2 linked regions of the Callithrix jacchus genome follow. The protein of the gene in region 1 interacts with the protein of each later gene in a biochemical or structural test. Links are inferred from orthologs where the notes say so. Each region holds a gene or a part of one and is shown on either strand. Other genes may lie near its edges. The genes, in order: RC3H2 and KLHL6.

Evidence for each region.
Region 2: the proteins of RC3H2 (region 1) and KLHL6 form a complex in vitro, tested with the Homo sapiens proteins (2 studies listed by BioGRID, with this or other methods). The link is inferred for Callithrix jacchus from reciprocal best matches to the Homo sapiens genes RC3H2 and KLHL6.

What each region holds. Positions count from the first base shown.
Region 1 is NC_133502.1:171,477,317-171,481,139, forward strand, and holds part of RC3H2 (roquin-2), read right to left. Parts: intron 3,151-3,823; coding exon 2,717-3,150; intron 2,135-2,716; coding exon 1,964-2,134; intron 1-1,963. UniProt on the Homo sapiens protein: Post-transcriptional repressor of mRNAs containing a conserved stem loop motif, called constitutive decay element (CDE), which is often located in the 3'-UTR, as in HMGXB3, ICOS, IER3, NFKBID, NFKBIZ, PPP1R10, TNF and in many more mRNAs.
Region 2 is NC_133516.1:12,549,930-12,553,752, reverse strand, and holds part of KLHL6 (kelch-like protein 6), read left to right. Parts: intron 1-856; coding exon 857-1,059; intron 1,060-3,077; coding exon 3,078-3,291; intron 3,292-3,545; coding exon 3,546-3,823. UniProt on the Homo sapiens protein: Involved in B-lymphocyte antigen receptor signaling and germinal center formation.

The sequences.
Region 1 (3,823 bases):
ATATTATTTATATTTTATATTAAATTTATATTAGTTACCTATAATTAATATAAAGTAACTATTATAGAATTCAAAGGACTTCATAGTGAACAATTACACTCTTTCAATAACTAATATAAAAAACTAATAAACAAATGGTATTTTTACAATAGAAAATGGCATGCTTTCCCTTTTCACTTTGTCCTTTAAGTGCTCATATGGAACATCTGACTAATACTATCAAAACCACTTAACAAATATTTATAGTATGCTACTAATATGGTATTGGGTGCTCCAATAAAAAAAAAAAAAATACATAGATACACACAGAGATCACAGTCCATATCCTAAAGGAGTTTATAATTTTCTTTTGAGACAGGGTCTCACTCCCACCGCCCAGGCTAACGGGCAGTGGGGTGATCACAGTTCACTGCAGCCTTGGCTTACCGGGCTCAGGTGATTTTCCCAACTTAGCTTCCCAAGTAGCTGGTACTACAAGTATGTGCCACTATGCCCAGACAATTTTTTGTATTTTTAGTAGAGATGGGGTTTTGCCATGTTGCCTAGGCTGGTGTCAAACTCCTGGGCTCAAGCAATCCACCCACTTTGAACTTCCAAAGTGCTGGGATTATGGGCATGAGACACTGCACCCAGCAGAGTTTATAATTTTCTTGAGAAAAAGAACACCATGTGCAAATAGGGGAATATAACTGATAAATTAGGCAGCATCACGTAAAGAACAAAAGGAATTCAAAGAAGGCTTTGGAGCTAAAGGAGAAATAAATTTTAAATGGGCGTGAATAATACTATAGGACCATAATACAAAAGTTGTAAGAATTATTAAATCTAGTTTACTAATTATTCGAATTAAAAAAACTCAAGGCCAAAAAGGTTAAATAACTTTTCTTAAGTCAAACTCAGCATATCTGAGTATCAGAGAAATAATGATTTCCTGAAGCCTAGTATATCTATAAAGAAAATACAAGCGGCATCTATAAAGCAAGTGGCAGCTCTGTGACTCTGTTGTCAAGATATTTACCTGCTTTGAAGAGGTCTATGTTTGACAAGACCAATTTGGATCTGGTTTAAAAATTCAATGCTTTATTGAAATATTTATGGATTAAAAAATATAACGCCTAATATGACTTCTAAACAATCCAGCAGGAAGAAGGGGGTACAAATAAGACAGTATTGACTGAGTTGATAACTGTGGAACCTGGGTGTTGGGTACAAGGAATTTATTATGTTATTCTCTCTATACTTGCATATGTTTGAAATTTTTTATAATAAAAAGATTTAAAAATTTTTAATATCATAACTTCGGGGATGGGGAATAAACCAGAAGAAACTTTAAAAAGAAATTAATGGTTTTCTCTAAATATAACAGTACTGAAAACATCATATTATATTAAAATCAACTTGGTACAAAAATTTATTTTGTAATGCCAAAAACAATAATTAAGGTGATATAAAGAGCATAAAAAATACCATAGGTATTTCTGCATCTCTTGTGAAGTACAGAAGAAATACCTCAGATAGCCCAGGATTCAAATCCCAGCTATTTACAGGCTGAAAGATCTTGGGCAAATTACTTAACTTCTGTGAGTAGGATTCCTACCCTGTAAAATATGGAAAATACCTGCCCCCTAAGGTTTTTGTGAGAATTAAATAAAATAGCTTTATGCAATTGCTTAATACAGTACTGGCAAATGGCTTTACGAGTAGGTGCTCAATAAATGATAGATATAAATCACACTAAATAAAAAACCATAAAATTATTACTGGAAAGATTTTGAATTCTTCGTAAAGGACTATGGGTTAATGGTCTTCAGAGTCTCCTAACACCTAGCCATAGTGCACATATATTCAGTGTTTATTGAACTAAACTCAACTGCAGACCAAACCATTGCAAAATATCCAACATAGCCAATCCTGGTTTGAATGAGTAATTTGAAATCAGCTATTTGATTAAAACCTTTCTTACATCCGCACGAAAGTCTACACTGAATAGAGGAGAAGGTGGTGTTGGTGACTGTGTTGCCACAGGAAGAGTTGAAGAGACAAGAGGTGCTTTCTGAGTGTGGTACTGTGCCCACTGATCTGGCTTTCTTCTTATCTGCTCCTCGCAACTGGTCTTCAAATGACCACAAGGTTCCTAATGGGGGATAAAAGAAACAATCTTAATCATCTAGGGCGTGGTCAATAATTTAACTGTGTGAAAATAATGTAAACAGTTTATGATATTGTCGGGATAAAAAAATACACCAGGGAAAGTCACCCTAGTCTGTTCTCCATACACTGAAATAAAAAGGTTTAATATTTATTCAACTGATGTTAAAAGCAAAATCTGAGCACTCACTTTTCTGGTTTAGGAAAGTCATTTGTATATATGTGGTGATACTGAACAAAGGCCCTAACCTTGTATTTTTAAGATTTCTTTCTACTTTCCCAACAATTTCCTATCCAAACATAACATTTATTGAGCATTAACATGTATCAGGCCCAGTTCTAAGAGGTTTGATTTCTTAATTTAATTCTCACAACAGCCTTATGAGATAGGTACTACTATTGTTTCCATCAAATGAAAGAACTGAGGCATTGAGAGGTCAAGTAAATTCCTTAAGTCACACAATTAGTAAGTGGAAGAGCCAGGATATCCACCTGGGTGGTTTGACTCCAGACACTGGGCTCTTAATGACTGCATTATAGTAGCACTCCTATTTCCATCATCACTTACCCTTGGTAAAGGCACAGTTGTCCTTGGCTCACTTGGTGGCTGACAAGCCACCGAGTAATATCCATCTAATGAGTTATATCTTTCCCGCAAAGATGTCTGATAGACAGATGAGTGCATCACATCCATTGGAGGTAAAGAATTGCTTCTAATAATGTCATCTCGTTGGTACATAGGTGGGCGCCAGATGCGCCTGCTGTCATACACAGGAGCATACATTCCAGAAGGTACTGGAGGAACTGGTCCATACGGCTGCGGAGGAGGAGGTTGGTAAGGAGAAGAATTCATTCGATCTCGAGGGGAAAATGTACTGTAATGATCGGCATATGGCATGGAAGCAGGTGGGAGGGAGGACTCTGGAACATTATTGGACCTCACAAAGCGAGGAACACAGGGAGCCACACCAGCTGGTACCGTTGGAGGTGGTGGATAGTATCCTTGAAAATTGGAAAGAGGAATATTTAATGTAATCTTAGTACAATCCAACATTTTATAATGGCTTAAATCTAACACAGCCCTTAATGCAGGAAAGTATAATAAGCTGTGAACCTTACCTTATTCTGCTTTATAAAGCTTTATACAGTGCTTTTTTTTGGGGGGTGGGGGGTAGAGACAGAGTCTCACTATGATACCCAGGCTGGTCTTGAACTCCTGGGTTCAAGCGATTTTCCTGGTTGGGCCTCCCAGAGTGCTGGGATTATAGGTGTGAGCTACCATGCCTGACCATAAGCTACATATTTTCAAGATATAACTATATGAAAATCATTAACATTCAATACTTTGTTAAAGTGCTCCTTAAAACACACGACAGAGCTATTAATATGTGGCTAGCAAATATCCTATTGCCACTGGTTTTCAATCAAATAATCAGTTACATCATTGACTTTTATTAACCTTATTGGGAGAAGAGGTTAAAGACCTCTTTCAAAATCTATGTAAGTTGTTCACTGTATTATCAAAATTGCACATAAGCATACAAACTTTTTTTTACATCATTTTAGGGAACTCACAGAAAACCCCCTGAAGTTCATTCCTGAACCTATATTTGATTTGTAAGAATGACAACCTTAAAGCTGTTAGTATTCAGAACCACAGATCTTTAGGGGAAGG
Region 2 (3,823 bases), on another chromosome or scaffold:
ACAGGGCCTGGTCAGCAGTGTTCATTTCTGCACTATTGCACACATGTATGTCTGCAAAGTAAACCTGTGCTTCCAGTAGTTGCTGGTACTCTATGGGAAAATGGAAAAATAGAGCTGTGAAATCGTTGATTAAAATCACAGAAAGTCAGTTTTCCCTTTTGTCTCTTTCCCCAGCTGCTGAATTACATATTTTCTGTTTTTTAAGAGAGCTGTCTTCAAGAAAATATTTACCAGGCCACTCTCAAATGATCTGTTGTGAGCATCTCGTACTTTTCTAACAAATATTAATTTAGAAATAGGGTAAGTCCCACTGATCTTTCTATATAGATCAGAAAGACAAACCAAGAGAATGTTGTACGATTTCTTGGTGATTTTTGCAGGTCCGTATCTTTGCTTTTTTTTTTTAAATAAATAAGTCAACATAGAACTTAAGCTGCCATGTAATTTGCCTTCTGGACAAAGCACACTGTCCCTGCCCAGCCTTACTTCCTGCTCCTTGTGAGCACGAACGCTGAGCCCAGGCTCCCTCGGGCCCCTACCCACCTAGGCTGACTTGGGGCCTGCCCTCTGAAGCCTTCCTGGGACACCGCTCACTTAGCTACCCCTTCTCTGAACTTTGCCTGCACTGAGGTGGCACGCGGCACCGTGTGTTCACAATGCATTTCTCTCTCCCACTGTCCCCCTGCATCTGCCTTGTCTCCCCACTAGACCGCACACGCCTTCAGGGCTGCTTTGATCTCCCCTCAAGGTGAGGCTGGCCTAGGAACCTGGCATTTTTGGACATGCGGGATATTATGGGAGATGCTGTATTTCTGACACATCTGGTGGTTTCTTAAATGCTTTTTATCTCTTGCAGGTGGCAAAGAAACACAGCATGATGTTTGGAAATATAACTCTTCGATCAACAAATGGATTCAGATTGAGTATTTAAACATAGGCCGCTGGAGGCATAAGATGGTGGTGCTGGGTGGTAAGGTCTATGTGATCGGAGGCTTCGACGGCTTACAGAGAATCAACAATGTGGAGACCTATGACCCCTTTCACAACTGCTGGTCAGAGGTAGAGGAAATACTTTCTTTTCTCTTTTCTTTTTTTTTTTTTTGAGAGGGAGTCTCACTCTGTTGCCCAGGCTGGAGTGCAGTGGCACGATCTTGGCTCACTGCAACCTCAAGTGATTCTCCTGTCTCAGCCTCCCGAGTAGCTGGGACCACAGGCGCCCACGACCGCACCCAGCTCATTTTTATATTTTCAGTAGAGATGGGGTTTCACCATGTTGGCCAGACTGGTCTTGATCTCTTGACCTCGTGATCTGCCTGCCTTGGCCTCCCAAAGTGCTTGGATTACAGGCATGAGGTATCGTTGTGCCCAGCCAGGAGATGATTTGTACGACTAACTGTCTGTATTATTACTTCAATGTTTTTTTTTTTTTTTTTTTTTTTTTTCTAAAAAAGCTTGGGAATGTACCCACAGTGGTAGCCAGCTTTCTGATCACATTACTTCCGAGGAGAACATTTCTGGTGGCTCTGAGCTTCCCTCCCCCATACTTTTTGCTGATTAAGTCACAGAAACAATGTCTTCCAGGTGGTGAAGGTCTGTGTGGGCACCTGTCCTAATCCGGCCAGAGCCCCAGATGTGGGCAGAGGCTTACACTGTTGTGCATGGCAGCTCTCTTGGTCTCCATGTCCTGGCCTAGGGTCCTTTCTCCTCAGATGCCTTCTCTCCTATTCTTCTCTACACTGGACACGTGCAGATCACTTTACTACACTATTTGTGAACCCAGAGTTATTCTGTCATGTTAGAAATCATCCCCTCATTATTTTCTCATCCATGAAGAGCCACTTGCAGGCCTGCATGTCAGACTTTAGCAGCACAACCTCAGGTATATATCACACCAGGAAAAGAAAAGCTACCTGATCTCATTTCCAGGTTATTCCCAGTTTCCAATTTTCTTTCTCCTTATCAAATCAGATGTCCGAGCATGTCCCAGCTTAATGGAGAGTACAACCCCATCATTGCAGGCACAAGCAGAGGCAGCCAAGTCACCACATCATCTAGCCAAGACTGTCAGCCTGAAAAGTGCTATATGGATAGCTCTTAGCACTTACAGGGGACCTGCCCAAGATCTCCTCAAAACAAGTCCTATCCCAGAGCTGCTCCATGATGCAAAGTGTCATGTAACTGGGCAAGACGCTCCTTTAGTGTCCAGGGGTTCCCAGGGTAGAAGCACATGTCTGACTTAATCTCAAAAGCTTCAGTGTTGCCCTATAGTGGAAGAGCCCGCTTACCTGTGGCCACCTTAAACCCATATACCAGCTTTTCTTCCTAGACATAAGCATCAAGGAAAATCAATGCTGGTACACAGTAGGCACTCCATAAATATTTTTTGAGTGGACAAGCACATGAATTAATATGAACATGCATGTATAAAAAAATCATTTTCCTGGGCTGGGCGTGGTGGCTCACACCTGTAATCCTGACACTTTGGGAAGCCAAGGCAGCCGGATCACCTGAGATCGGGAGTTAGACTCCAGCCTGATCAACATGGAGAAACCTCGTCTCTACTAAAAATACGAAATTAGCCAGGCGTGGTGGCTCATGCCTGTAGTCCCAGCTACCTGGTAGGCTGAGGCAGGAGAATCGCTTGAACCCAGGAGGTGAAGGTTACAGTGAGCTGAGATTGCCCCATTGCACTCCAGCCTGGGCAACAAGAGCTAAACTCTGTCTCCAAAATAATAATAATAATAATAATAATAATTTTCCTCCAACATTGGCTGACTTCATCTGTATAAACTTATTCTTGCCTATCCTCTTCCTTCCCTGAGAGCTGGACTCTGGGAGAGGCTGGCACATGCCAGCACACAGCTTGCTCTAGATTGTGTGGAGCCTGCAGGGAGGGTGGGAAATACATGCTTTCATTCTCGCTGAGTCTTAAGAGGAGTGAAGCACAGGCGCCTTGTGACTTTAGGCAAAAGCTGCCCAGTTCTGTGTCCTGGAGCTCCGTCCTGCACCCTGGGAGCTACTGCAGCAACCTGGGCATCATGACTGACAGCTGCTTCTTGTGCCTTGTGCCTCCACAGGCCGCGCCCCTCCTTGTCCACGTCAGCTCCTTTGCAGCCACCAGCCATAAGAAGAAGCTCTACGTGATTGGGGGAGGGCCCAATGGGAAACTGGCCACAGACAAGACTCAGTGTTATGACCCTTCAACCAACAAGTGGAATCTGAAGGCGGCCATGCCAGTGGAGGCGAAATGCATCAATGCAGTGAGTTTCCGGGACCGCATCTATGTTGTTGGTGAGTAAGGGCTTCTTCTTTATCTGAATAGCTTAGAGCTGGATTCGTGCCTGGCTGCAGCACAGAAAGGGTGTGTCTCCAGCGCTGGCCACTCACTGCCCCTGGGACCCACTCTGGTTTTCAGAGGAGCCATTAATCTACTGTTTCTATTGGGAAGAGGGTAGACATGGCCTAACCAGAGCTGAGTTTTAGTGGTTAAGAGCGAAGAAGGCAGAAACTGGAGGGATGTCCACCTCTTCCCTCCCTGTCCTCAGGTGGAGCCATGAGAGCGCTGTATGCCTACAGCCCCCTGGAAGACAGCTGGTGCCTGGTGACCCAGCTCAGCCACGAGCGGGCCAGCTGCGGCATCGCGCCCTGTAACAACCGGCTCTACATCACTGGTGGGAGGGACGAGAAGAACGAGGTCATCGCCACCGTGCTATGCTGGGACCCCGAGACCCAGAGACTGACAGAGGAGTGCGTCCTGCCCCGGGGTGTGTCGCACCATGGCAGCGTCACCATCAGGAAGTCGTACACCCACATCCGCAGGATT